4 linked regions of the Ovis aries genome follow. The protein of the gene in region 1 purifies or fractionates together with the protein of each later gene. This does not show direct contact. Links are inferred from orthologs where the notes say so. Each region holds a gene or a part of one and is shown in the gene's direction. Other genes may lie near its edges. The genes, in order: RPS6KA3, CSNK2B, FGFR2 and FGFR1.

Region 1 (7,050 bases):
TCAGTTTTCACTGAAGAATTTGTGACTTTGCAGTCATCTAACTCTTCTATGTTCTTTTCTTAGTGCCTCAGCAGTAATTAGTTATTAAAATAATAACTGGTCTGGAGAAGTAAAGTTCTGGATGTTAGGGTGTGAAACTGAGGTTACTGATTAGAACATAAACTCAGAATTGAGTGATGGAAGAAACACATATTGTCTAATAAGTAATAAGGGGCATCAGAGAGACTTAAGATTAAAAAAAAAGTATTCCAGTAGGTGATTAAAGGGAGAAAGTAATTCAGAACTCTAAAGGAATGGTATCTTTCTGTGTGTGTGCCATTATTGCTTGGATATCACATAGGCAGTACTTAGGTAAATCCGGGTTTTTGTTTCCTTTTTACACTTAAACCCCATGCCTGTTCCATTGAGCCTGTCCATACATTTATTGTGTTTATCCATTGTACACACCATTCCCTCTACTTAGAATGACTACCCCCACTTCTCTGGCTTCTACATTCAGTTCTTCAGATCTTAAATCAGTTGTTACCTCCTCTAGAGACCCTTCCTGACCCTCCCGAGTTGTGCCCCATCACTCACGTATTTATTCTCTGCCTCCCTTACTACTGGGTAAGCTCCTGGCATGTAAAGGCAAGGATCTTACAGGTCTTGTTCATCAGAGTATCTGCAGCTCCTTGTATAATACCCTGGTACATGATAGATATTCAATTAATATTTGTTGAACAATGAATAACTTGGAGACAGATATTACTGCTATTTGCATTTTTCATTAATCCACTCAATTGGACAAAGTGAGGGGGGAGATAAATACTGTTCTTTCTTCCTCCTTTCCTTGCCACAGTTCTGTGTGAGAGAGTTATACTTACACTATTAGTATTTTATACTGTTGGAATAATGTGAAGGTCACTACCAATCATCTTGTTAAGTTTGTGATAAATAATTTTCCATAATGGAGACGTATTGTTAATGCAGCTCTTTAATTTGTATTTCAATTAGGTGGTTCACAGAGACTTGAAACCTAGCAACATTCTTTATGTGGATGAATCTGGCAATCCAGAATCTATTCGCATTTGTGATTTTGGCTTTGCTAAACAGCTAAGAGCAGAAAATGGTCTTCTCATGACTCCTTGTTATACGGCAAATTTTGTTGCACCAGAGGTAATTGTGAAAGAGTTTGCTTGCAATATTTCAGTATATTTAAAGACTCATTTGCTTTGTTTTGCCCATCTTCCCTGGTAGCTCAGATGATAAAGAGTCTGCCTGCAATGCAGGAGACCTGAGTTTGATCCCTGAGTCGGGAAGATCCCTTGGAGAAGGAGACAGCATCCCACTCCAGTATCCTTGCCTGGAAAATTCTTTCCTGATACTCTTCGAATTTCCTGATTTTTGTCACCATCTTCCTGTATTTCTAAAGCTAAAACATCATGGTCTTTTCTTGTCTTTAGCTTTGTAACCAGTTAGCATCTCTGTTATCCCCTACAACCAGTTTGGGCTTCTTCTGTTCACAGACCTGCCTTCCTAGCCCCTGCTTCCTTCACCACAGCCCCAGGTGACTGCCACAGCCTAGGTGCATGGCGTTCCCTTTTGTCATTGTCTGATCAGTCCACAAAGATGTTGCAAAGTTGCTGAAGTCTTCCTCAAGCACTGCTTTGATCAGGTTGCTGCTTTTCCTAAGAAATTGCAGTTCCCCATTATAGCATCTCTAAAATCCAATGTTTTGCCCTCAAAATTTCTTGGCTTTGGATTATCACTATGTAAAAAATTAAAACTAGAAGCAAGATAATAAAAAATAATAGTTAATCCTAATATAAGGCTTGCATGTCAGGCACATATGTTAACAGATTTCATCCTCTCAGCTTTAATTTGGGTATAATAATTTGTTCTCATTATAACTATGTGAGCTGAGTAATTTTATTTGCATTTTACAGGAAACAGGGTGCACAGTGAGGGGTGATGCCATTTGCCTGAGATCAGATCTAGATTTGAGCCCAAGAAACCCAGCTACAAAGTTTGTGCTTTACCATGTGCTAGATATTTCACAAAAATGATAATAGTTGATAACGTTAGACTAGTTGGATTATAGATTCAGATTCCCTTGTCCGTTCTCCAAACTTTACTTTTTAGATAGAAAAAAAATTTTTTTAAGTTTATTTGATTCAGTTCTCCCAGTGATACTAGAACTGATGAGGGACAGGTTTTTTCCTTTATTTGTTGACATATCCACAGCCTCTGACACAAACTGGTGTCCAAGCATGACCCCCTAATCCAGCCATCTCATTTTTCCTCAGGATTGTTTCCTACTTCATATAAGCAGTCTGCTTCTTGGAATCACCATGTAGCTTTTATGTCTTGGCACATTGGAATGTTTTTTTTTTTTGCTTCAGATCCTGCCTCTAAATTCACCTTCAGGAAATCTTCTATGATCAAACTGTCCTTAGACTGACCTCTTAACTCTTCCCAAAATCCTCCTCCTGTATTATTTCTCCACATTCAGTGGATCACCAGATCCTTTCCTTTCTGATTCCTAAATATTTTAGACCTTTTTTCCCTTACGCTGTATATCCAGTCTTTACTGAGTCCTTCCCATTTTATCTTTATGTCTTTTCCTCTTCATGTCCTGTTTTAGTACAGATCCTCACAGCCTTTCACTTAGTTTGCTACAAATTGCCTCCAATGAGGTGGCCTTGTGTCCATTCTCTCTTCTTGCCAGCATTTTCTCTATACCTTGAGTTATCTTTCTGGTATACACATCCACTTATTTTATTTTCCTCTTTAATGCTTCAATGACATCTGATTGCCTGCAGGGGGAAAAAAAACACCTAGATTCCTTAACAAGATGTTTATAAAAAGCTTTCCAAGGTATTTCCTGGTGGGCCAGTAGTTAGGACTTGGTGTTTTCACTGTTGGGGCCCAGGTTCGATCTCTGGTTGGGGAACTAAGATCCCAGAAGCCACGTGGTGTGGCCAAACAAATAATTTAAAAAACCTTTAAAAACCGCTTCAGTCTCTCTATAGAATCCCCTGTGTGGAAATCTGGCCACACTGAACTTACATGTCGCTAAGCAGGCTCTGCTCTCTTGCCCCTGCTCTCTCCCACGTCTTGATTTCGCCTCCTGAATTCTTCCTTATCGGCCCAATACAAGCAGGTTGCCTCCGAGCCTTCTTCCCTCTCTCCCCTATCAAGAGTGAATTGCTTCTTCATCTTTATACCCATATCCTTAAAACATATTTTTGTTAGAAAACTTATCATGTTGAATTAACTACATATATGTTTATTTCCTTTGCAAGATTCTGATTTTCTTAGAGAAAACAGTTGTTTTGTATTTGTCACAGTTTATGCCTGATAATAGTGATGATTAAATCTTGAGTATATATATAAAAGTACAATTTTGCCCTATACCATTTATACTGTTATATTTTCTTTGTTTTGTTAATTATTTCTGCAGCCCCTTACAAAATATAAATACATTTAAATGAGAAATTTACCTTCAGTTTATTTTTATAGTCCTCTGTGTGCCACAGCAGCGTTTGATAAATTAAGATGAATATCAGAATTTAAATTTATATAAAGTATTAGTAGAAGTTTCTAGAAGTAGTATTACTATATTGCCTTGTTTGTTAATCATGCTATTTTTCTTGTATGCATTGATTTAGGAGACATAATTTAGTTCACGCCTATCCAAATCTGTATAATAAAAAACAGTGTGTTGATACTAATTTTTACTTTTTCTAGGTTTTAAAACGACAAGGCTATGATGCTGCTTGTGACATATGGAGTCTTGGTGTCCTCCTCTACACAATGCTTACTGGGTGAGTGTGTACCGTATGTTGTAAGCATTTATTCATCGATAATTTTGGTTACATTATCTAGATTTATTTTTTAATCTCTTATAATACTTTCTTCCCATAGTTTCTCTTGTTGTTTAATAATACAATTCTGTGTGTATATGTGTGTATCACTGTTATACCTGTATTATTATTTTCTGTAATGTACTATTATTAAGTTCTTCAGGTTATGAGTTGATTTTTTTATATCATTTTTGTACTCTGTGTCATAAACATATACTATTTTAAATTTATTATTCTATAGTATGTCATGTCTTAATTATATTATTGTATATTAAATTTAAATTAATATTTCATAACCTATACCTTGACCTGGTACTTTATGAAGCTTCATATTGTTGTTAATTTTTACTTAAGTAGATTTTGATGAGGTGTAACATTAAATGAACTACTTAGAGTACTTTTGGATATTGCAAATAAATATGAAAATTACCAACCAAAAAAGAAACTTTATTCATTAGCATGTTATTCTGTTATAAATTAGTTACACTCCATTTGCAAATGGTCCTGATGATACACCAGAGGAAATACTGGCTCGAATAGGCAGTGGAAAATTCTCACTCAGTGGTGGCTACTGGAATTCTGTTTCAGACACAGCAAAGGTAAGTATGGCTTCCTATTAAAGCTTTTGAGAAAATAATTTTTCATAATCCCTAGTGAGAAAAAATATCAGTTAGAAACTTGTTGATAGAGCAGTATTGAAATGATGTTGCCAAATACCTCAGACTCAAAAATTGACCACTTATGTTGTTTCTTTTCCAGAATAGATTGGTTTGGCCTATCTATCTATCTGTCTATCTATCTATCTATCTATTTCATGGTACTTCTTACTAATGAACATGATGAATAATGCTTACGGTGGAATTGGCCGGGCAGCTTTGGGAAGCAGAAGGATGTAGTCCATCCCAGGCTCTCATGATGATCTGTGTGTTTCCTCTGTGCCTCACACTGCACTTCACCTAGATTATCCCCTTTAATCCTCCTAACAACACTGTAGAATAGCTAGTAGTGTCACCATTTCCCAGTAGGAAACCAAAGCCCAGAATTTTAGTGTGAACTTCTCCACAGCAGGCATGAGTAGGTGCTTCAAAAGAAACAGCCAATTCCAAAGTCCTTGTTCCCTAGAATAACTGTACTGTGTTCTGTTTTTGGTCCATATTATGAAGAAAGGGGTCTATCTTTTTCTCAATAAATAGTAGTTTAGCTTTATAGTGTCTACTTGAAATCCATTTGAAATGCCTTTCTTGCTAGCAGACTCGCCATCCCCTGAATAGCATTGATCTGCCTTCTAACTCTCCTCTAGTTTCACTTTCAGTTCATTTGAAGAAAATTCTGTTTGAAAAGAAGAGCAAAGTTTTCCATTTCAAAATAAGAAAAACATAGAGGAGATGAGGGAGATACTATTGGTAAAAAGTGCTCACTCCTTTTTCTTAGAGGTGGATGCTTGACTTGAAATGATTGCATTAGTAAATAGGATATGTCAGAAATTTCTGTAGATAATTTTGGCATCGATATGAAGCCTCAGTTGACTAGTTTAATATCTGTGTGGATAATATTTAGTATTATAACTGTATTTAAAATGATATGTTAGCTTTTCCCTTTGTTTAACAATAAAATTTCTTAAACCAGGTAATTCATTTTTCTTGGTACTTTTTGCTTTTTTAAAATTCATGTATTGAGCACCTGCATTGTGCTTAATAAGTGAAAGTGCCAGGGATAAAAGATGGGACTCAGATGGAATTCCTGATCTCAGAGAGCTCTCAGGCTAGTTGTGAGATGGCCAGAAATATACAGTTCAGTGTCACATGTGCTTTTACAGTGCTCTGCTTACTGTGCTAAAGAAGTTCACAGATGATGTTTGATCAGAAAGGTTTCATGGAAGGCTTTCCAGAAGCATTGAAGGGATTGGCCAGACAGCTTTGGGAAGCAGAAGGATGTAGTCCATCCCAGGCTGAGGGAGCAGCCCATGCGTGGTCATGATGGCATGGGAATGGCACAGTACCTCCAGGGTGGTGCACAGAGTTTGATGTGACCACTACAAGGTACATGTAACAGGGTCACTGATGAACCACAGTTATGAAAGGTTTTGTCAGTCATGCTCAGGATTTGGGATTTTCTCTAATTACTGGGGAGCTGCTGAAAAATACTAAGCATTGTAGTGGTCAGATTTTCCTTTTTCAAGGTCACTGTGGAGTAGTAATTTTTAACCATTGGGATCGACTGCAAACTTGGTCACAATTGGTTGTCAGGCGTATCAAGTAATGTTACCACAGAAAGTACCATAGTTTATACATTGCCTGGTTTTTTAATAAGTTAAAGCAAGTCTAGCTTATCTCTATGATTTTTATAATTTGGTTCTCATTCACTTGCATTTTATGATTTTTTTTGAGTGAAAGGCAGGTGAGGATGAGATACAAATAATGCAAAAAAAATTACATCTAGTGCACAGCCTATTTTATGAATGCCACATGATTACTAATAAGTTTTGCTAATTTTTCCAGTTAATACTTGTGATTATAAGTATAATGTAATATGCTGAATACCCACAAAATTGAGAAGTAGAAAAAAGTAAAAATAACTCTGTAATCTTTGGAGGGAGCATTTAGAACACTCCAATTAATTCCTGTTATTAGACAGTTGTATCCTGCTTTTCAGTTTTACCAGTAGTACAAAAAAAATCTTAAGTAGCTGAAAGTTACTTAGAAATAAACCAATGAAAATGTAGAGAAAATCAGAATATATGAGAGAAAAAAGAGCCAAAGTCCTTAAATATACATAAAATGTGGTAAATTTACCCTTTGCAATGCACCAGAATTATTGTTAACTCAGGGAGGAGAAAACAAAGACTTAAGTTTTTACTTTTTTTTTTTTTAAACATTGTCATATTGACCAAATTGCTTTGTACCCAAAGGTCTGCTACTCAGAAAGAATAGTGTCATGGAAACCAAGGAAGAATACTACACAGTATCAGGTGCTATAGGAAAACAAATAACAGGTTTAAGCTTGTTTTATTCTTTTTCCCACTACAGGACCTGGTGTCAAAGATGCTTCATGTGGACCCTCACCAGAGACTGACCGCTGCCCTTGTGCTCAGACATCCTTGGATTGTCCACTGGGACCAACTGCCGCAATACCAACTCAACAGACAGGATGCACCACATCTGGTCAAGGTGAGCAGCCCACTGGGGCATGCATGCCACATGCCCTC
Region 2 (7,592 bases), on another chromosome or scaffold:
ACAGTGCTTACTATGCTATTAAATACAAGCACTGTTCTAGTATTTTATGTATATTAACCCATTTAATTAACCCTAACAACCCTATAAGAAGTATAGTCTAATTTCTTAGATAGGAAAACTGAGCCACATGGACGCTAGGTTGCTTGCCCAAGAAGTACAATCAGGATTTAAACCCAGAGAGTGTGTACAACACAGAAATTTAGCAGATATTTTACAATGACTATAAACAGAATATCACTTTAAAAAATCCTGAATTGCTATATTGTACATATGTAATTTATATACTTGAATTATGCTTCAATAAAACAAAAATAGATTTAAAAGTTTAAACAATATTAAAAGATAAGGCTTCCCTCACCGGTTCTCTGGACTCCTTGTCTCTCCAGGGCTCTCTCTGACCATGCGGGCCACCTCAGGGAAACCTGCTTCTTCAGCCAACTGAGCAGCATCTCTGCCCCCCAGCTCACAGACCCCTACCCAGGCAGCCCCACGGCCCAGGAGATAGCGCACAGCTGCCCCCTGGCCTGCTCGGGCGGCACACATCAGAGGGGTCCACCAGAAAGCATCCCGAGCATTGATATTCCCTCCAGCTCCCCCTGCCTCACGGGGATCCAACAGCCTTTTTAGTTTTGCCAGGTCCCCCTCCTGGGCTGCCCTCAGTATCTGCTGGGTCGTCTTGTCCTTTGTGTCAAGGGATCTCCTTTGTCCATGTCCTCCTGCTGCTCCTGCTGCAGTCTCCCTCGTCATTCTTCTTTTCTTCCTCTTCCTGGCAGGCCCAGGCTGAGCTCTCTGGGTTTCAGGGGTGCTGCTCTCATCTTCAATTAAGGCTTCGTAAAAAGCCCGGGCTGCAGCCCCCTCCAGGATGGGCTCCAGCTCTTCAGGCTGTGATTGCAGCTGCCCATCTTTCCACAGATCACTGGAATCAGTGGCTGGGGTAAAGTTAATGAGGGAAGACCCAGACATGGCTTTTGGGAAATCTAGGAAAATGAGACTAGGAAGCCAAGCCCCTGGTGGTCCTGCAGCGACCAGAGCCAGTTCCAGACACCTAATGAGATAAACAAAAAGTATCCTTAGCGTCAAAAATCCCCTCCCAACCCAAAAGTGACCCCACAACCTGGGACCCTGTAGGGTCAGTAACAGACAATGCCCCTCAATAAAGGTAAGAAAGAAGTCTCCGTAAGACAGTTGCCCAGACCGTGCGCTCCGCCCCTACCTCCATCCGCACCAACAATACCAGCCTCTCTGAGACAACTTTATCACAGCGTAAAACATACCATTAAGAAAAACAATCAAATTGGCTCTTTAAATCTTCCTATTTCAGGGTAAGTTCTTCCCAAACAAAAACAAACGCGACACGTCTCCGGAAGCAGGAAGCAGCTTTCAGGAAGAGGTTCCAGTCTGTGTCGCTTTATAGCTTCCGTACTGCAAAATGGCGCTACTCTAAGCAAAGGAGTCGACAAATAATCACAGGGCACAAAGACGCATGCGTGGCCGGGGAAACAAAACAAAACAAAACAAAACACCTGAGGGTGCAGGCGCGCGCTAGCGCCGGGTTTTTCCCGCCCTGGAATGTTTCCATAGCAGAAGCACAACGCACCACGTGCCGGGGCAGCGCGAGGACTGAGAAAGATCCGTCGGTTGGGGTTCTGTTTTTACATAACGCCCCCACAATGCCCTTCGCCTCCTCCCTCAACGTGGCCCCCGCTCCGAGCTCATTTTCTGGACCTGGGAAATCACTCTCAGGGTTAAAAAAGGCTCTGAGGCGGAGAATGCCCAGAAACCCTGAAATGAAATAACGTCACGCAGCCCCTCACCATTACTCTGACCAGGGTTCGAAGGTCGCATTTAGCGCCCACAGCAGCCCCGTTCAAGCCCTAAGAGGAAATGGAGAAGTGCAAGGGGACAAGCAGCAGAATGGCTGGCACCACCTCAGGTTAGCCCACGGGGCCGTCCTGGTTCTCACACCGCTCAGCTCATCCCAGTACACCCTACCCAGGACCCTCAGCATGGAACCCGGCCTCACCTCCCGCCTCCGCTGCGCGAACCCCGGATGAAACAAGGGCCCCGTCGCGGGTCTCCTTGGCGGGCTGACTCCAAGGAGCAAGGCAATAAGGGCCAGGAGGGCTGGCTGGCTGGGGATGAGGTCAATGCCCCGGGCAGCAAAGTCTCGCCGAGGCCTGAGGCTCGCTGTTTGATGGGAGAAGCAAGAAGCAACCAGCCAGCCTAGTTCCTCTCCCGGCCCACCCCCTCCCCTCCATGGCCCTGCAGTCCCCGGAATCACACGACTATATTTCCCAGGCTACCTGGCCCAGAACGCGGTACTGAGTTTCCGCTTCCGGTGGCGGCTCGCAGTGCCCTGCTGCGCCCCGCCCCCAGCGTACCCCTCCCCCGGGGCCTCGTGACACCAGGGTCGTGCGCGGGTCATCCTGGGATTTGTAGTTCGCTTTTCCCTAGTTTCGTCAGTTTCTTCTTCCCAAGGACTCCATTTCCCGGCATGCACCGCGGCTCCTAACTCTAAGCACTTGCGCGTTGCCCTCTTCCCCACCCTCCCCAGTTTCCACTCCCCCCACCCCACTTCGCCTGCCGCGGTCGGGTCCGCGGCCTGCGTTGTAGCCGTCGTCGCGGTCTTTGGAAGCAGAAACTCCCCTTCCCCTCCCCGTCCCCCGGTCCCAGTCCCCGTCCAGTCGGTGAGTGTGGTGGTCGTCGCCGCGCCATGTCCCCTGTCCCTGGGCGCGGCACATGGGGTCTCCGCGTCTTGATGTGGGGGTGGGAAAGGAAATGACCCGGTCCGGCACCGAGGGTAGGAGAGGTGGCCCGAAGGGTGGAGGCGGGATGTCGGGACTTCTATGAAACGGACCTGACCACCACCTATAGGCCATGAGAAAAGGAGGGCCCAGCTCTTGCTTGGAAAGGATAAACTTCGGAACCCTTGAGAATGGGGCCAGAGACTTGCGGGGGTAGGGAGCTTGAGCCACGGCCCTACCGGAGTTGACACGGAGGAGAGAGGGGCCTGGCTTTCAGGAGCGTCAGGGATGGAGGTAGGACTAGTGGGGTCAAGACCTGTCGGTTTCTCACAGCTGGTGGACCCCGAAGAATTTCTCTATGTAATCTCAGTGAAAAGGGGCTGGAATGTAAATAAGAGGAGCTAGAGAGACGTGCTCCAGTCTCGGGTTCTTTAAGAAAAGGGTAGCCCCAAATTCTTCCATGGTTTGAGGGCAAAGTGTGGGAGGAGTGAGGATACCAGAGGTTGGGAGGGAGAGCTTAGGCTTATACTCTTCTGTCTCTAGCCGACGTGAAGATGAGCAGCTCAGAGGAGGTGTCCTGGATTTCTTGGTTCTGTGGGCTCCGTGGCAATGAATTCTTCTGTGAGGTGAGTTCTCCTCAACCCTACCATCCACCTCCACATGTAATCTGGCCACATAATCTCCTGCACATAAAGCTTCCACACACTTCTCTTACATACTTTAGTAAAAACTCTTGTCAAGGAGGAGTCTCCTTAGTAGCGCTCTCTAACTTGTGGTGAAGGGTCAAGACTGAGACCCCAAGTCAACCCTGCCACCCTCCAACAGCCTAATGTTGGACTTGTCAACCTGTGTTGTTTTTTTTTTTTTTTTTTTTTTTTACCAGGGAAGTACTGATAGTATGTATTTCTGGTAGCTATTAGGAGAATTAAAACACTTCACGTTAAAATGTTTTATAGCATGGCTGTGTGTTAACATAAGGGAGTGTAACTGACTTCAGAATCCAAGCTGTTCAGCCCCCACCTTCCTCAGAGAGCCAGCTGCCCCTCAGGAGAGGCCAAAACTGATTCCTAGAGCTAGGAACAGGAATCAGGACAGGGATCTTGAAAGGACTGCCTCTGTAAGGAGGGGATTGCTTATGTTTAGGAGAAAAAAGCCAGACCTCTTCTGGGTGGGCAGTATACACGAACTAGGGAGAGAGGTTCAAGTACTTCTGCTGAGTTGGGAGTGTGGAACAAAGGGAATGAAGCAGTTGTGTTGAAGATAAGGCACGAGTTAGAGCACCCTGCCCAGGTCAAAGCTGAGGATTCTGCTTTGGGTTTCCTTTTGACTTCACGTCCTGACAGGTGGATGAAGACTATATCCAGGACAAATTCAATCTCACTGGACTCAATGAACAGGTGCCTCACTATCGACAAGCTTTAGACATGATCTTGGACCTGGAGCCTGGTGAGACACCCTCAGGGTTGTTTTGTGTGTGTGCTGTTTTTTTCCTATTCACACCTTGTTTATCTGCTTCATGAATTTCTAAATTTCCTTTTGGTTCTCTAACCCTTTTAACCCCAAATCCTTTACTTCATTTTGATTCCATACCTCACTCTTGCCTAATTTTGTGACTTCTACACTTGTTCTCATACTCTGATCCTATAACTTAGCACTTATCGAAAATGCTAGTTTCTCCATGGGTGTTATCTTCTTCCTTGCCCCTTCCAGGTTAGAGTTCTATCTTCTGTGTTGACATCTTTGCATTTATTTATTAAAAAAGAGAAGGAAGCAGAGGCTGAGAGGGATGGAAAGAAACCCTTGGGTTGGTGGAAGGGGCAGAGGCCCAGGCTGTGGGTGGGGTGAGGCTCCAAGTTGGGTGCTGGGCTGAAGAGCCAGCAGCCCCTGGGAGTAGGCAGGGCACCTTAAAAAGTTGTAAGACAAGTGGTTGCATTTGGCTGGTGCCATGTTTCAGATGAGGAGCTGGAAGACAACCCCAACCAGAGTGACCTGATTGAGCAAGCAGCCGAAATGCTCTATGGATTGATCCACGCCCGCTATATCCTCACCAACCGTGGCATCGCCCAGATGGTGAGGCCTCTCTACTCCTACTCGGTTCCTTCAGAGGCAACAGGGAAGCAGAGTTTCCATCAGCAAGAAGTCACTCGTTTCAGCCTTGTCACGGAATCTAGCTGAGAAGAGGGGAAAGAACCCCAGAATCTGGGCCTAGGGGTTAAGACCTGATTGAGGGTTGAGGTGAAGGGAGTGTTTTGGGGGAGGGAGATGTGACCTAGAGCAGAAAGTTGTAGACTGCCTCTTCCTCAGGGAATAAGCAGTGAATGTCTGATGATCTTCAGACTGCCTGACTGGATGAAAGGAAGCAGGGGAGTCTGAAGGCCCATCTGAGCCAGAGAAGGGGCCTCTGGACATTAAGAGGCAGAAGGAGTTGGGGACACAGTGATGTGGATTGGGCTGAGGAGGGGGTTGCCTCTTTTCTTCATACCTACCCACCAACTCCTTCAATTTCATTCACATCAGTTGGAAAAGTACCAGCAGGGAGACTTTGGATACTGTCCCCGTGTGTACTGTGAGAACCAGCCAATGCTTCCCATCGGTGAGTGTTGGGAAAGGGAAAGGAGGGCCATGGCAGGCTGGGATGGAGTTGGGGCTCAGCAGGTTGGGGCCTGAGTCCAGGAGGGAGGTTGGGCAGGCTTGGGTAACCTGGCCTGCTGAGTCTGGCTGTCTCCCAGGCCTTTCAGACATCCCAGGTGAGGCCATGGTGAAGCTCTACTGCCCCAAGTGCATGGACGTGTACACACCCAAGTCATCGAGGCACCACCACACGGATGGCGCCTACTTCGGCACCGGTTTCCCTCACATGCTCTTCATGGTGCACCCCGAGTACCGGCCCAAGAGGCCCGCCAACCAGTTTGTGCCCAGGTGGGGAGCAGGGACAGAGTCACCAAGGGTCGAAAGAAGTGCCTTGGATCCCCCAGAAAGAAGGGAGGATGAGGCAGTAGCTAGCCTTGCTGCCATTTTGTGTGCTCAACTTTCGCTAGGAAATTCTCAGAGCCACGGTTGAAGTGTATGATCTTCCTGCAGTATCATTTTTGCTCTGGTGTAGAAAAAGAAAGTTCAGCTTTTATATTAAAACAAGTACTGCCATGTATATACTCATGTATATATGTACAGACACATATTTGTAGCTTTGAATTTGAGTTTTAATAGATATTTAAAATACATTTCCAAATATTCTTAAAGGGAGAAGTTGGGGAACCGCTGCCTTGAAGTACTGAGCAGGCCCATGAAGAAACTGGGGTAGGGGGGAATGCAGGCCACTGGCAGGCCAGGATGGGGCTCACTGTGCTTCCTCTCTCACCTCTGCCCCAACCCAGGCTTTACGGTTTCAAGATCCATCCAATGGCTTACCAGCTGCAGCTCCAAGCCGCCAGCAACTTCAAGAGCCCAGTGAAGACGATTCGCTGATTCCCCACCCCACCTGTCCCTCGGTCTTTGACACTTTCATTCCTTTGCTGCCACAATTTCAGGAACCCTCTATGGTTTTTAGTTTAAATTAAAGGAGTCATTATTGTGGTGGGAATATGAAATAAAGTGGAAGAAAAGGCCATGGGCTGATTGGCTGGTGTTTGGGGTTGGGGAAGCACGGGTAATGGTATGCTGGGCCCCAGGAGCCCTCCTGGCTCAGCCCACTCTCTTCAAGTGGAAAACCAGCACAGATTTGTACCCAGTAGATTTGGGTGATGTTTTTAGGACTGGGTGTAGGGATGTACGGAGATCACGAGGCAAAGACAGAAATCGGATTTCAAAGACTGGAGAAATATTTGCTCTTTTTGTGTTGCCTGCAGTTGGCTGTTTAGGGGATGTAATCAACATCACTTTGAGTTTTATAAAGAAAGTGGTCCCAAAATAAACTGAACTGTAAGGGGTGGGGAGAAGAGGTTCAAGGTCCAGAATTTGCTGTTTTGTGTCTATGTGCCCCCTCCTGGGGAAGCTGAGACATGCTCATCTCAGAAGGATGAAGGTCACTGGGTTCCTGGTTAAAGTTTCTCCCAGAACAATAGGGACTGGCCCTGTTGTGTAGGGAGGATGGCAGATGGTACCAGAGAATGAAACTAATCCATGGACCCTGGAGGGGCAGGAACAGATCTTTGAGGGACACTCAGGACAAAAGTAGACTGCTGGATTGGGGCCCAGATATTGCACCTGTCTGGGCTGCCGCTCCCACATTCAGGAACCAGACCAGGTGGGTGAGGACATGTTCTCCTGCCAAGCTAATTGCTTCCTGCCCCAGGGAGGAGTATAGCTTTGTACCTACAGCAGCTCCTGCCCAGACTACCTGTCAAAACCACCTTGCAGTTCAGGCTCGAGGAGTGTGGTCACGGGGTTTCTAGGCACCCCTCGGGGAATGCCCCTCTCCCCAGAAGTCCATGATGAAGGCCCACATGCTTATAGGTGCACTGGTCATGGTGGGCTTCACGGTGGGAAAGGGTAAGTGGAGCAGGGGCAGGGCAGGAGGGGTGGCTGAGTACAGGGAGAGGGTGGCGGTGGATGAGCGGGATGTTGCAAGGCAGGGAACTTGGAGTGGGCCAACACCACCATCCGTGTCTTCCGCTTCCCCAGCTCCTGTTTCTGAAGTCCGGACCTGCCACCTCTGCCTCTTAGAAAATCCTGCTGTAGGATGCATTTCAGGCTCAGAGAAGTGCACTATCAGCAGCTCATCCCCGTGCATGGTGATCAGCATCAACCATGGTGAGTTGAGTCAGGCAGGGAAGGGGCCACTGGCAGGACAGCCTATGGCATTGTCTCCTCTTGTAAATGAGGGCTGCTTGGGGCCTGAGGTCTAAGGAG
Region 3 (7,050 bases), on another chromosome or scaffold:
ACTCGGAGGGGACATCGTCGAAGGTGCCTCGTTCCGAGGCCCGGGGAGCCCCCACTCCGTTCCATCCAGGCCCGGGCCGGGGACCCTTCCCCGGGAGGGGTCCGCTGAGGTGGGGCTGGCAACACCTCTGTAGGGTAGGCGAGGGCTCGGGGCGGGGGGTGGCACTCTGGGAGGGGGGCTGCTCCGGTTCCCCGATTGCAGTGCCCTTCGGCCTCCCTGGCCCGCAGCCGCCGTCTCGGCTGGAGGGAGCGCGGCTCGCCTGGGGCTAGGGGGCGAACTGGACCGACTTTTTCTAGTTCGCTGCCTGCTCTACCGGCAGCAGCTCGGAGATGTCGAAAGCGCAGGCGAGTTCTAACTTGCGCGCTCATTCTTTCAGCTCCAGGGCCGCGCCGGGGAGTCAGCCGAGGGCTGGGCCCGGCGCTGGCTCCGACCCTCGCGGCCACCGGGCCAGGCGAAGGGGTCCGGCTCGGGGCCGTGGAGCCTCAGCCGCTCCCCTCGCCTCCCGCTCCTTTGCAAACTCTTCTCCGGACCTTCCTTCCTCTCGCCCAATTCAATAAAACCACCCTTAAAGGCAAACCTTCTTTCACCCATTATGTGTTTGGCGTGAAGCGCTATCAACATTTAAAACCCCATTGTCCCCTGGGTCCCAAATCCCTGTAAATCTTCCACCGGCCTCGACTCATTTTCATCTGAAAAGCCTGTTTAGTTTGAATAGAAAAGCAATCGGGCGCCCCTCTCTCTCGCCCTGGAATGTCAATTAAAATGCAGATTTCTCTGAGCTCTTTAGCGCCCCGAGAAGGGGGAGAAATTCACTATATTCCTAGCACACAAATGAAACAACTGCTACAATTGAAACCGGATTGGTGATGTTGAGTTCTCCCGGAGCTGCTGCAAGTTCTTGGCTTGCCGGGGGTTAACGGGGAAGAGAAGGTGGTCCTGGGTCAGCCTGTATTTTGTCTTGAAATTTCACTGTGTTGAGGAATTTCCACCCCCACCACATCTGACCCCTTGAGAGCCCCCTGCTCTGTTCAGGCATGGGGGTCCTAGGGAGGCTTGGAGCCTAGAAGGTGGGTCTGCCTCCTGGGGGCCTGGGCACCCCCCACCTTGCCTGGCACTTTTGACTGATGGGAAATCTGCCGGGAAAGAAGCTCCCAAGTGCTCGGGTAGAGACTCAGTTAAGGTGGGTGCTATATTGGCTTGGCTTCTTGAAGGGTGGAGGGTTTGGGAATGTTCTGTAAATTGCATGGATCTGGTATAGGGACCGCTCCCCAGCCAAGCCCTCTCGCTTGTCACTTTGCCTGTCTTTGGGGGCAGGCTTGTGCCGAGGTGAAAATGGACAGGGGGGTTGGGGAACGGGTGGCCAGGAAGAGCCATCCATCACTGGGAGGGTGACAACTCCTCCCGCTCCCAAGCGGAGAAGAGAGTTCCCTTTCAAGGGGAAAAATAAACACGCTGGGGCTTTCACTGAGGCTCAGACTCCAGGAAGGATTATGGTATTGAAGGCAGGAAGCTGGGATTGTGGCCGGCAGCGGCACGCTGGGCCTGTGTTCCCAACACTGAGCCTGGGGACCTCATTATCCTGCCCAGGAGGTCCCTCCATACCTTTGTCCACTCGGGTGAGGATTTGTGCGGACCTGCCACCCTCCATCTCCACTTTCCAGAGATTTGGGAAGGAAGGGGGTGGCCGCGGAGCCTGGATCTGGAAATGGCTACATAAGTCAGTTGCTGGTGCAAGCTGATGGGGTGAAGGGATGGCTTGAGATCTCGCTGAGGTCACTCACTGTCCGCCTCTCCCTGCAAAGGAAGCTCCTTCAGGCTAGGACAGGTAGGTGAGGGGGCTGGGGAAGCAGTCTGGGGCCCACTCTCTTGCTGGGATTTTCCTGGAGTTGTGTTAGAGGCAAAAAAATTCCCATGCATTCTGGAAATGCTTCGTAAATCAGTGAGAATGTTTGTGTATTCTCCTCCCACGTGTATGTAGAAATAGATATGGACTTATCTTTTGAGGCTCTTACCTCAAAGAGGAAAGAAAAACTGGCCAAAGAAATCCTTCAAGCAATCTGAAAGCACGGGGTGGACGCACGCGCTCTTCTTTTGCTGTGAATCACACCATTTCACGTGTGCTTTCTTTTGAAGAAGAGGCTTTCTTTTTTCCTCCTCTGAAAGTGGAGCAGCGTCCTCTTTTCCCCTTGCTCACTCTAATCCTTAGTCAAGGCTGAAAGTTTATTCTGATGTAGCTTTGGGGACGCTCAAGCAGTATTGAAATCCCAAGTCATAATCTGAAACATGAAGTCCGCAAGCAGAAAGCGTGGGGTTTCGAGATTTGTATATTAAAGGTCTCACCTCCACCCTCAATCCTATAAAATGTGGTTCTTTCATATGTAATTCACAGAATCTGTGATTGGATCAAATTCTCTGAAGCTTGTGCATTTTGGTTCTTATTCTTAGTAATTGATACTGAACAAATGTAAAGTCTTGGATTATCTTAAGCTTGGAAATTTCTCTTTGCTTTTGAATTAAATGGGTGAGCAGACTAGTACATTGAACACCCCCTGGTAACTTCTGTTCTGAAATTTTAGTCAGTAAGTTAGCATATTGAAAGTTATTGGCCCAATCACCTACCCTGAGAGTAATTTACATATCATCATCACCATCATCATCATTAATGAACACCCGTGTTATTCAAAGGAGTTTGCATCTGCTCTGTTTCTTAATGCACTCTGTCTAGTTTGAAGACACGCACTAGGCCTGGGCTGCCATTCGTCACAGTGGAATGGGATTCAAGCTTTGAACCTCTTTTTGGATCAGCTGCTTTGAATGTATTGCAGTCTCGTTCATTCTTTGTAAGTGTCTGCTTGGCGAAAAGATTGAAATACATTTCTGCATTTGAAAATGAATCTTGACAAGTGTAAACTGGTGGGAATTTTTGGTCGCCTTCCTGGGGTTCTTTTTATTTTGCTGGTCTCCCTTCCTCCCGAGGGCTCCAGGGAGGGTGGAGCAAGCCACTTAGCTCCAACCCCCAGAAGCAGACACCTCTGAAGCCCAGTTGGTGTGAAAGAAGTTAACAAGAGGCTGGCTATGCCAGCCGGAGCATCGTTAACTTGGCTTTTGTAGTTGCCCTTGAAACTAAGGTCACGTAGCTTTGGCTTTTGGAGGGCGGGAGAGGTGACAGTGGGTAGGAGGAGAGAGTCCGCTTGCCCAGCTGAAGTGGCTGCACGTATCTGGGTCCTGTAGCTACTCTTTTTATCTCTGTTTCCTAAGAGTAGGCTTTCTCAACCGTCAGCCTAACACGTTTTTGTGGACCGGTCTGGTGGAAACCCCTGGGACTCAGGTGCGGATGGAAGGTATTTGCAGATGATGAAAGAGAACTGGGTTGAACTAAATTGGTATTGGGGAAGATTTCACTGACTTGCAGTGTCTCTCTCCTCTAGAGGTTGCAGCAGCAGCAGCAGCGGCAAGGCCAGCGAGCGGCTGCCGCAGCACCTTGATTCCTGAGCCCACCGCCGGCTGAAGGCATTGCTGCAGGCAGTCCATGCTCGTAGAGGAAGGGTGCAGATGGGATTAACGTCCACATGGAGATATGGAAGAGGACAGGGGATCGGCACTGTAACCATGGTCAGCTGGGGTCGCTTCCTCTGCCTGGTTGTGGTCACCATGGCAACCTTGTCCCTGGCCCGGCCCTCCTTCAATTTAGTTGACGATACCACGGTTGAGCCGGAAGGTAAGTTATCTCATTTCGCTCTCAGGGTACCAAGTTTGGGGATTTGTCTGGGGGAAGTGGCAGTGAGGTCAAGGCCTGTTTGAGAATCAGCTGCCCCTTGCGTTGTAAAGGAGACCTCTAAGAGCGGAGCTTGTGGCTCTCTGCCCCCTGCAAGCCAGGGATTACAAGAGAAGGTTCTCAGCTGTCACGCTGAGGGCAGGGTGGTGTAGTTCGGTGGTTTCTTGGCGTGTGCGTTTTTCTCTGTGCTGGGTAAGGGAGGCGGCTGGCAGTTCATCCAGTGCCAGGAGAGCCGTGGCAGGCAGCTCAGAGTTGAATGCCATCTACCACTCCCTGCTTACCCGAGAGAGTCTTGCTCACAATGTAAAGGATTGCAGTTTGCCGGCAAAAGGAGTCATGCAGGGAAATTGCCAACCTCTGAAATGCTGACATTTTATTTTCATTGTCTAAGGAGAGAAAGCTTCTGAACTTCAGCGTGGAGAGGGTTGAGACATTACATTCTTTTTAGCCCTTGTAATTCATAATACTTAAGCCACACGTCACAGAGCAGCAGATTCTATTTTAGGTCAATTTGAAATGTACCTGGGCCTTTCCCGAATCTCTGAGAACTTCCAGATCTAACAGGGTGTGCGTTGGTGTTTCAGCTGTGGAAATTGCACGCAGGCAACACATTATGCATTTTGGAACATGCAGAAAGGCATGAGGCCAGTTGTGAGCACAAAACTCACAAGGGCTGAATTTTCCCGCCAGGCAGACTTGGAACCTCTTCTCCTGGGTCCTTCCGCGACGTCGGTAGCCCAGCCTCAACTTGGTGCCGCACGAGATCTGTCATCAGTAGGGAATATTGGTAGCTGAGTTATTTTTCGAGTGGTAATCCGAGAATAAAACGGCAGATCCTAGCACTCATCGCCACTTAATGAACCTGTTTGCTGAGAGCCCACCTGGTGCCTGCTGAGCTCTGGGGGCCTGCGTGGGCTGGGGTCGGTCAGCTGTTCTGGAAAAGACCCTGCTCGGAAGAAGACCGCAAGCCTGTCCAGGACCAGACCGGGAGGGGAGGGCTGTGTCCTCATCCGAGGGGGGCTCCCACTGAGACCCTGAGTCATGCAAGGATAAAGGCATATCTTTTTTTTTCTAAAATGGAGGCGCTTCTTACTAGAAGCAGCTCAGCAGTTGCGAGTGGAAGCTTGTGCCCTTTTTCTTACCTAGAGGTATGGAGGTTTGTAGTAAACAGGTGTAGTGACGCTGCAGTGGCTTCCAAGTCTCCGGTAGGGAACCTGGTAGGAGTTTGCGTCTGAAGTGTTCACAGGCTCTGGCTCCAGGGATTATGGAACTGCCTCCTGGTGACATGAGCTCCAATGTCACTTGCAATGGGGATGCATGTTTAAAGGGCTTAACTTGAGGGAAAAGGTTCCCAGTTTCTGAAAGTCATGCCTGTACGTCTTTAATTTTGCTAATAATTAAAATGGATGTTTCTCTAATTGCCGGTTTTCCCTGGGGTGCATGGCTCAGTACACACACTGAGGCTGCTGAACAGGAGGGTTTCCTGCAGTGTGAGCCCAGGAATGGCCTAGGTTAGGAAGAAAATGTCATTTCTCATTTCGACTTTCAGGGCAGCGTGATTGGGAGTTTATTTCAACATAAAGTGTAAAATGGTCCTGGAGGACTTCTTTTTATCGTCTTTAATTATTGAAGGGAATTTAAAAATATATGTGCACATACTGGTAGGAAGAGGTGAGGCAGGGATGGGGAGGGGGTGGAGACGGACGAGGACGCAGTACCCCCCGGCAGTTCTTTGTGTAGAAATGTGCATTCAACAATGTGAGTGTTGTTGGAGGCTGGTCTTCCCAGCCTGGCATCTGTGAATGCACTTGGGGGTTGAGGGGAGGTGCCTGAATTCTCTGAAACGGGAGGTCATATTTTGGGGTTCACAGCTCCTATGAGGTTTGCGTCCAGAGTTGTGAGAGGTTTTTTTCAAAGGTTTAGTGGAAGCTGTGCAAAACCCTGGAAAGAGGTGGCTTTGGAAAAAGCACACAACCCCCTGGATCTCAGTTTCCTTTTCTGTCATCTGAGGGCTGGATTAGATAATCTTCAGGGTCTCTTTATTAATGTTAAATGAATATTGATATCTTCAGAAGCCTTCTGATGACCCGCCTCAAAAAGGTTGCTAGGAGATTTAAGTGGGTCTGGACGTAAAACGCAGTTAGCACAGGTCCTGCTGTCTAATGAGTACCTGGGACAAGTTGTTGTCCTTGTTCCTGGTGAGTTGGGCACGCCCATCTTCCCAGTCCCATGGGCTGGCTGTGTCAGTTGCCACAACATCAGGAGACATCTAGGCTTTTGAAGAAAGTTGTTCGCTGATGGAGGAGCAGCTGTGTTGGCTTTCTGTAGGGTCTGCACTTCCCCTGTCGACTGATTTGAGCCCTAAGATGAATTCTTCCAGCGCAGGAGTTTAGCTTTGGTGTCAGAGGCTATTAGGAAGGTAATCTAATTATAGATGAGAAAGAAAAATTTTTAGCAACTGGAAGCAGACTAAGTCGGGCAGCTCCAGTTTAGGCTGTGGTCCTGGCGAATTGGAGAGAGACCGACAGAGTCCCCCATCCATGTGTGTCCATCAGTCGCTATCTGTCCTCCATGGCATGTTTTAACTATAGCTTTGGATAAAGTAAGTTCAGCCTTGACTTTCTATCCTACAGGGCCTTATCTTGGAAGACTTTTTGGCTTGCTAATGCGAAAGCTCAGTTTAGATAAATGTGGCCAGAGAAAAATGTGACTAAGTTCCAGGAAGGGGCCTGAGCCCTCCCTCTAGAGAATCCTTTTCCAATTGTCTCAGCTTTGTACAGTATCATCTCATTGATCATCATCCCATCCCATCCATCATCTATCATCCTGTCATGTATCAACATCATCTCATCTACCATGTATCATGATCATATATCCCGTCACCTGTCATGTATCATTTGTCTTCTGGACACGTTCTGAAGTGGTAGCTGTAGGTTTGGGTCTACTCAACTGACTTCAGAAAATAATCTCTAGAAGACTTTACTTGTTAATATTCCAGACTAAAAAAATGAGTATTTTTGGTTGGTCAGTCATTCTTGTCGGGGACCAGCTGTGCAGGGTTTAAACTCAGTTACTGACTCTAGGCGGCCAGTCCTCAATGCCAAGTACTGTTCTGTTGATTAAAGTTCTAATTATTTATAGTCAAGCTTGATTACCCTGTAGCAGAGAGGACTCTTGCTTTCAAGTTCTTCCTGACATTGTCACCTACTCTGGTTAATTAAGTCGTTGTTGACTTTAACGACATCTTTGTTTACACCAGCCCAGTAGGAGTTAAA
Region 4 (7,508 bases), on another chromosome or scaffold:
GCCTTGCACAATTTACAGAAATCAACTCAAAATGGTTCATGGGCCTAAATGTAAAATCTAAAATGAATAATAAAAAAATTGATGACTGAAGTTCATTTATTCCACAAATATGTGAGTTCTTGCTTTGTATTTAATGTTTTTTCATTCATTTGTAAATATTTATTTATTTACTTGTCAGTCAGTCCATAAACATGTACTGAGCTCCTACTATGTGAACAACACTATGGTAGTCACTGTTCTTTTACCCGCTGGTCCAATAAAAAAACTAACTTGGAGGCAATTTCCTGGCAGCCCAGTGGTAAGGACCTGATGCTTTCACTTCTAGGTTCCATTCCTGGTGGGGGAACTCAGGTCCTACAAGCCACACAGCACAGCCACAAAAGAAAAGAAATAACTTGGAGATACTTTCCTTAAATGTTGGGGCGGGAGGGGGTTGTCTTGTTCAGTTTTTGAGCTTCCACAACCTTGTGGGTTTCAATGAGGTGAGGATGAGGGAACAGGCCCTACCAGTAACTGACACAGCAACTTTATCTATATCAAAAGCAACACTTTGCGTGCGCTGAATTCCATTATTTTAGTTGATTCTGGTGACAACCTTGTGAGGGGGCTCTAGCCAACTGAGGGAAAACACGTAAACAGATCTTCAGTTCAGTTCAGCTCAGTTCAGTCGCTCAGTCATGTCCGACTCTTTGCCACCCCATGAATCGCAGCACGCCAGGCCTCCTCGTCCATCACCAAGTCACGAGTCAGTGATGCCATTCAGCCATCTCATCCTCTGTCATCCCCTTCTCTTCCTGCCCCCAATCCCTCCCAGCATCAGAGTCTTTTCCAATGAGTCAACTCTTCGCATGAGGTGGCCAAAGTATTGGAGTTTCAGCTTTAGCATCATTCCTTCCAATTTCTTTCAAATGCATGACTTGTCCAAAATCAAATAGTTCTTAAGTAGCAGGCCGGAAAGAAGGTATCTATCATATCTAGGGTGGCATACTTCTCACCTGCCAGTGGTCCCCTACCTGATACCATGGGAGCGGCAGAAAAACATAAGCTCTTTGCTCCTTCCTGGGACAGCCTGATCTCTCAAGTCTGAGCAGGTCCATGAATTTATATTTTTCAGAAGTTTTGGGAAGGATTTGAGTGAACTCCAGGAGTTGGTGATGGACAGGAAGGCCTGGCGTGTTGCGATTCATGGGGTCGCAAAGAGTCAGACACGACTGAGAGACTGAACTGAACTGATCTGATGTCCATTTGGATCAGGGAACCACTAGATTATACCAGCCTGCAGAAAGACCCAGGGAAAAGGGCATTTTAGCTACTTTCCCTCGAGTTCCTTCGAGTACTGGAGTGTGTGCTGGGTAGGCTTTGATCAATTTCCAAATCAACACTTCTCAGCTCCTCTCACTGTTTGCTTCTGAAACATTCACTGCAGACAGAAGACTTCCGGAGGCGGAGAATGGTGCTGCAGAACTGACAAGACTCAGCACCCCTGGACCACAAAACCTAGGCCATATGTTTGGGAAAGTGAGATGGAACCAAAGCTTCTGAGGAGCCATCAAACTTCTCATGAATAAAAGCAGTTTGACTTTGCTCAGTAACTCTGCGGCAGGCCCTTATTTAATCCTCAACTGTATATGGAAAGTGCTATTGTTCCCCTTTTTGTTGTTCAGTGGCTAAGTCATCTCTGACTCCTTGCAACCCCAAGCACGAGGGGCTTCCCACTCCTTCACTATCTTCCAAAGTTTGCTCAAACTCATGTCCACTGAATCAGTGATGCCATCCAACCATCTCATCCTCTGTCACCACTTTCTCCTCCCGTCTTCAATCTTTCCCAGCATCAGGGTCTTTTCCAAAGAGTCAGCTCTTTGCATCAGGTGGCCAAAGTATTAGAGCTTCAGCATCAGTCCTTCCAATGAATGTTTACGGTTGGTCTCTTGGGCTCCAAAATTACTGCAGATGGTGACTGCAGCCATGAAATCAAAAGATGCTTGCTCCTTGGAAGAAAAGTTATAACCAACCTAGACAGCAAATAAAAGAGCAGAGACATTACTTTGCCAACAAAGATCCATCTAGTCAAAGCTATGGTTTTTCCAGTAGTCATGTATGGATGTGAGAGTTGGACCATGAAGAAAGCTGAGCACCGAAGAGTTGATGCTTTTGAACTGCGGTGTTGGAGAAGACTCTTGAGAGTCCCTTGGACTGCAAGGAGATCCAACCAGTCTATCCTAAAGGAAATCAGTCCTGAATACTCACTGGAAGGACTGATCCTGAAAATGAAGCTCCCATACTTTGGGCATCTGATGCGAAGAACTGAGTCATTGGAAAAGACTTTGATGCTGGCAAAGATTGAAGGCAGAAGAAGGGGACGACAGAGGATGAGATGGTTGGATGGCATCACCAACTCGATGGACATGAGTTTGAGCAAGCTCGGGGAGTTGATGATGGACAGGGAAGCCTGGCGTGCTACAGTCCATGCGGTGGCAAAAAGTCGGACACGGCTGAGCGACTGAACTGAACTGACCTTTAGGATTGACTGGTTTGATCTCTTCGCTATCCTCTTTTACAGATGTGAAAACTGAGATACAGAGCGAGAACATCGTTTCCCCAGGGCACTCGGTCAGAGTCCAAAGTGCTACCGTGTGCAACCTGAGGGCTTCAGGGTCTCATCTCCATCCCTCCAACTGCTCATCCGTCCACAGCCCGAAATTCGTGCGCCCTCCGGGAGGGGCTCAGTTGGAGGGGCGGGCGCGCGTCAAAGGAGGCCAGACAGACTGAGGCAAAGGAGCAGCAGAGCGCAGGGCGACTCAACCCGCTCCCCCCTTCTCGGGGGCCCTCGGCTCAGAACTACAAGGCCCAGCAGGCAGCGGCAGGGGGAGGAGGAGGAGGTGGGACCAGCGTGGGGTGGGAGTGAGAGAAGGAGCCCTCGCGCCTTGCCGGCGCATAGCGCTCGGAGCGCTCCTGCGGGCACTGGCGCGGCGGCCTCGGCTGTGGCTGCGGCGCGACGCGGGAGCCCGAAGTCTGGTCCAGCCGCAGCGCGCGGAGGAGCCCGGGCTGTGCCCAGAGCTGGGCGGCGACGTCCGGACAGCCCCGAGACTCCGCTTAGCGCATTGCGGCGACCTCGCCTTCCCCGGCCGAGAGCGCGCGCCGCAGCTGGAAGAGCGGCGGAGCCCGAGGACTTTTCTCCGGTCCGAGGGGCGCCCCGCCGGGCGCAGGGGACCAGGGCGGCAGTCGGGCACGCCGCGGCGCCGGGGCCCCCGCCAGGCGATGGAGCTCGGGCTGCCAGAAGCTTGAGGGCCGCCGCCCGGTGCTGGAGAGGGGGGGCCCACAGGGTCTGGAGACCCCGGGCGGCGGACAGGAGCCCTCCCCCCGCCCCGCCTCCGGGGCACCAGCTTCGGCTCCATTGTTCCCGCCCGGGCTGGAGGCGCCGAGCCCCGAGCGCCACCGGCAGTCGAGCGCCGGCCGCGGGGGCTCCTGCGGCCCCGCCAGGACCCGAGCGGAGCCCGGGGGCGGCGGGCCGGAGCCAGGGACGCGGACGCCCGCCCGCCCGCACGAGCCACGGCGGACTCTCCAGAGGCGGAACCGCAGCGCCGAGTGAGGTAAGAGCCGCGGCGCCCCCGGATCCGGGGCGGGCTCCGCGTCCCGGGCGGGCCCCCGGCGCCGGAGCCTCCCGGCCGCGCGCTCTCCCCGCCGCAGCGCAGTCGGGTCCGGCGCCTCCCTCCGCTCGTTACCCGCCCCTCTCCACCCCCGGCTCCCTGCCCAGCTCCCGGCGCCCCCCTTTTGTCTCCCCTCCCTTCCCTCCGCTCGCGTCGCCTTCTGCGCCCCCTCCCCGCGCCCGTCCCGCCGCCCAACTTTTCCGCCAACTCGCGCTGGGGAGCTGGCGAGGCGGCGGCGGCTCCGCGGTGAGTCCGGGGAGGGACAGGGCCCGGGGCCGAGGCGGCGGCGGTCCTGGGTTTCCTGGGCCTGGGGAGGCAGGCGGGGGCGGGCAGCGCGGTGGGGTGTGTGTGTGTGTGTGTGTTGCGTTCCACACCATCTCCTTTTAGTCCACCCATGGGGAGTCTCCGCGATCCAGCAGGTAGCTTTGGGTGGAACGCTAAAAAAAAGAAAAAAGAAAAAACCCGGGGTCCTCCTAAGTCCTTTTCCATCTCCGGGAAAGTCTGGGGTCACTGCCGCAGGCGGGTGGGCGGTTGGGGGCCTGAAAGGGGAAGGAAGTGGAGGGGTCGGTTCGCTTCTCTTCCAGTCGGTTTTAAAGGGGGGTGTCGTCACCAAATGGCTGAAGCTGCTTCAGCGAAGAGCGAGAAAGGAATTCCCTTTTTCGAGAGGCGCTGATCTCCGACTTAGTCCGTCTCTGAAAGGGTCGGAAGTTTGGGGAAGGGGAGGGCGCCCAGCGGGTGAGGTTAAGCCCCATTACGGGGTCTGGGGGAAGGGATTGGTCAGTTCCTATCTGGTTCGAGGAGGTGGGGGAAGGGATGAGGGTTTTGTCCGGTGCGGTTCGCTCGGCACCGGCGCTTGTTGCTTCGCGGGCCCAGAACCCTCTGCCCCCTTCCCGCTCCCCTTTCCCGCTATGTTTGGGGTGAGGAGAAGAGGGGGGCTGGAACCTTCGTTTGCAGAGGAATTTATTGACGTTGTAGATGCGATCATTTAACCCAGATCCTATGGAAGCAGTCAGATGCCTCTGGTTGGGGAGTGGAGGGCTTGGGGAGCGGTGAAACCTGCATCTCTTGTCTGGACCCAGAGGCTTTGGCCCTGTTCAAAGTTTCCGCCGTGTCTCCCCACCACCTCCCCATCACCACTCCCCCCACCCCCGCCCCATTTTCCAGATGTAGCCGCCGCATCTGGTTCCGTTTCACCCCACCCGGGTACACCGCAGCCGCTTGAACGTCCCTGTTCCTCCCTGCCCCCTCCCCCGGATCGAAACAGGGATCCTATAACTTGTCCTCACCACCTCGCTCTTTACGATTTTTTCTTAAGACTTGGGTACGAGGCGCTGGGACTGGGGGAGAGAAGTTACCCTGGATGCCAGGGTACTTAGGCTGTGCTGGCGCTTTCTGGCTCGTGCGGGAAAGGGGCATTGCCGGCGAGAGGAGGTTTAGGGGATGACAATATCTCCTCTGATAAGTGGTGGCCTCTTTGGCCACCGGTCTGACCCAGAGCTGGCCCTGACAGAAGTTTCTGGAACCGGAGCATTGCAGCCTCCTCCCTTTTCAGTTAGAGCCGGAGCGGCGGGAGTGTCTGACCCTGTCCGGAGCCCGCCGCCGGGTCTCGGGCCGCCCGGCGGTGGCGTCACGCGTCCCCTTTTCCACCCTCCCTGGAGCAAGCCCGGGGCGCAGCGGCTTGGGCGTGGGAGGGGGGCCCGGGCTGTGGCTCCCTTGGTGTTTTGAAGGAGTTCTTTCTTTGGGCGGCCGCTCCCGGAGGCTAACGTGGGGCGTTTTACCAAGTCCGCGCCGGCCGCAGGTTTGAAAGGGGTTGGCCTGTTGAGGGTTTTTGGTTCTGCCCTTTGAGGCAGGAAAGGGCTTTCTGGTTCCAAAGTTGCGAGAGGGTGGGGAGAGTTGGTCTCTCACCCTCTCCTCTCCAGCCTCTTTCAAATTGAAAACACTTCTCTGGTTTCCTCCTTTGGGCGGTCGTTCGGAGGCTGTAATGAAATCGCACTTTCTCTAGACATGGTAATTAAGGTGACTGTTTCCTCCGCAGATGGCGCTCTATCCTCTGCACCTCCGGCCCTGCGCTTTTTTTGGAAAACAGTCTAAATTATACAACCTTAGCCTTGAGACTGTGGGGCAGAAAGTGGCCATTCCCCATCCTCCCCCACCCCCCACCCCCGAACTATTGGCCCGGGCTCCCCGTTTCCTCCCTGAGGCTTGTTTAAAGGCTAAGTAGCAGGGCCCCTTGGGACGTGCCTCCGTCTGGTTAATTACACCCCCCCCGCCCCCCCCCGCCCCAAGCCTGGGTCATCAGCCTTCCTTCCAGTGACCCAGGGGAAGCCCTTGGTGGTGTTGGTGGGGAAGACCCAGAGACCTTAGGGAGGATGGCCTGCCTCCCTAATGACTTGTTTACGTATTCTACCCCCTCCCCGCCCCCGCCCCCAAATGGCTGGGAAGACCTCCAGGGCTGCTGCCGTGGACCGCCCCCCCCCCCCCCCCCCCCCCCCCCCCCCCCACCCCGAGGAATGCCAGGTGTTTGGGGACTGGGAAGCTGCCGGGGTCTCGGCTCCAGCCTGCGATGGTTGCATACTGAATCGGGTGAGGAGCTCGTTGAAATATCTGTTGCATTTATTCTTAGTCATAGCGGAGCGTCAGCTTTTTAATCAGGGTCATCCGGGTGAAGAGCCGCTTGGACAGTGTGCACGCCGCGCGCTGTCTGCTCTGACGGTGCCCGTAGAAATGCGCGTTGGGGAGGCATTTTCACGAATGGGATTTGGGCCAGAGTGGGCACTGTTTTCTTTGGCTCCCAAGTAGAGAGCCTTGGGTACTTACTTCTTTTCCTTGGCTCCTGGCCATGGAGGATGTGAGAAAGTTCCGTTAGGCACCCTTAGAATAGCAAGTGAAGCCAAAAGCAGAAGACACAGAGAAGGAGCCTGGAAGGTGCTATGGCCCCACCCCTCCTGGGGGAGAGGATCAGAACATCTCCAGATTTAGGTCTGGTCCAGCTTTGTTCCTGTGGACTCCAGTGGCCAGGAGGATGGAGTTGAGAATGGAGGAGGACGCCTCCAGCCACGGAGACCAGGCTGGACTGCTCTGGCTTTTAGTTGTCTGCTCTTTGTTTGTTTGGGGGTGTTTGGGGAGTGCTTTTTGTTTGTTTGGGCCTGGAAAAAAAAAAAAACGAGTCCTAAAAGAAGAGATTTGCTCCTGTGAGCTTGGGCCTTTAGTGGCCTCTGAACACTTTCTTCAGGCCTCCATTTTTTAATCTCTCTCATCAAAATGGCCGTGGTTAAGAGCTTCCTAGGAAGGTTTCAGCCTGTTGCTGCAGGAGGAGAAGGACAGAGTAAGTGACTCAAACATCTTACTCTGAAAAGGCCTCACCTCACTGGAGAGGAGTTTTAATTTCCTCTTGGGAAACAGGTCTCGCATTTGGCTTCCCAGGAGCTTTGTAAAAGGTCTGAGTCAACCCCAGGACTTGTTGGGAGTCCAGATGCAGAGCTTCAGAAAAGATTCTGGGGTTTCCAGAGAGGATTAAAAAGTGGACCTGGACTAAGACTTGCTTTTCTCCCTAAGGCTGCATCTTCCTGAGAGAAATTCCCTGCTCATCACCATTCCACTTGCAGTTACAAGGAGCCACGTTCAGGCTCCAAGAAAACAGCCCCCACCTGGGTGAACACCTCCAAGCGTATGGTGGTCCACAAGCCATCCTGTCTTCAGTGGCAAGGCTTCCTAGATTATAGTGGGACAGTTAGAGTTTCTCTTCTTATTACTCATTTCTTACATACCTCACTCCCAGGGACATCTGGGTACTTTTTTTTTTTTTTTTTTACAAGGACTCAAAGCTTTTAAATGAGCATTTCTGTTGGACCCAGTCACATT

What was found.
Region 2: the proteins of RPS6KA3 (region 1) and CSNK2B purify together in Homo sapiens (affinity purification with mass spectrometry; 5 studies listed by BioGRID and IntAct, with this or other methods). This does not show direct contact. The link is inferred for Ovis aries from reciprocal best matches to the Homo sapiens genes RPS6KA3 and CSNK2B.
Region 3: the proteins of RPS6KA3 (region 1) and FGFR2 purify together in Homo sapiens (affinity purification with mass spectrometry; 3 studies listed by BioGRID and IntAct, counting the BioPlex papers as one, with this or other methods). This does not show direct contact. The link is inferred for Ovis aries from reciprocal best matches to the Homo sapiens genes RPS6KA3 and FGFR2.
Region 4: the proteins of RPS6KA3 (region 1) and FGFR1 purify together in Homo sapiens (affinity purification with mass spectrometry; 4 studies listed by BioGRID and IntAct, with this or other methods). This does not show direct contact. The link is inferred for Ovis aries from reciprocal best matches to the Homo sapiens genes RPS6KA3 and FGFR1.

The regions. Positions count from the first base shown.
Region 1 is NC_056080.1:18,623,369-18,630,418, reverse strand, and holds part of RPS6KA3 (ribosomal protein S6 kinase alpha-3), read left to right. Parts: intron 1-993; coding exon 994-1,155; intron 1,156-3,729; coding exon 3,730-3,806; intron 3,807-4,326; coding exon 4,327-4,444; intron 4,445-6,871; coding exon 6,872-7,012; intron 7,013-7,050. UniProt on the Homo sapiens protein: Serine/threonine-protein kinase that acts downstream of ERK (MAPK1/ERK2 and MAPK3/ERK1) signaling and mediates mitogenic and stress-induced activation of the transcription factors CREB1, ETV1/ER81 and NR4A1/NUR77, regulates translation through RPS6 and EIF4B phosphorylation, and mediates cellular proliferation, survival, and differentiation by modulating mTOR signaling and repressing pro-apoptotic function of BAD and DAPK1.
Region 2 is NC_056073.1:26,711,012-26,718,603, reverse strand, and holds CSNK2B (casein kinase II subunit beta), read left to right. Parts: upstream 1-2,562; 5' UTR 2,563-2,687; intron 2,688-3,287; 5' UTR 3,288-3,298; coding exon 3,299-3,370; exon of another isoform or gene 3,371-4,087; coding exon 4,088-4,190; exon of another isoform or gene 4,191-4,698; coding exon 4,699-4,814; exon of another isoform or gene 4,815-5,261; coding exon 5,262-5,337; exon of another isoform or gene 5,338-5,473; coding exon 5,474-5,663; exon of another isoform or gene 5,664-6,118; coding exon 6,119-6,209; 3' UTR 6,210-6,349; downstream 6,350-7,592. Other genes in the region: GPANK1 (G patch domain and ankyrin repeat-containing protein 1), read right to left, coding at 359-963; LY6G5B (lymphocyte antigen 6 complex locus protein G5b), read left to right, coding at 7,172-7,232, 7,365-7,493. UniProt on the Homo sapiens protein: Regulatory subunit of casein kinase II/CK2.
Region 3 is NC_056075.1:41,083,155-41,090,204, reverse strand, and holds part of FGFR2 (fibroblast growth factor receptor 2), read left to right. Parts: intron 1-842; exon of another isoform or gene 843-1,180; intron 1,181-2,725; 5' UTR 2,726-2,840; intron 2,841-3,428; 5' UTR 3,429-3,552; coding exon 3,553-3,718; intron 3,719-7,050. UniProt on the Homo sapiens protein: Tyrosine-protein kinase that acts as a cell-surface receptor for fibroblast growth factors and plays an essential role in the regulation of cell proliferation, differentiation, migration and apoptosis, and in the regulation of embryonic development.
Region 4 is NC_056079.1:32,686,891-32,694,398, reverse strand, and holds the start of FGFR1 (fibroblast growth factor receptor 1), read left to right. Parts: upstream 1-3,393; 5' UTR 3,394-3,590; intron 3,591-3,852; exon of another isoform or gene 3,853-3,893; intron 3,894-7,508. UniProt on the Homo sapiens protein: Tyrosine-protein kinase that acts as a cell-surface receptor for fibroblast growth factors and plays an essential role in the regulation of embryonic development, cell proliferation, differentiation and migration.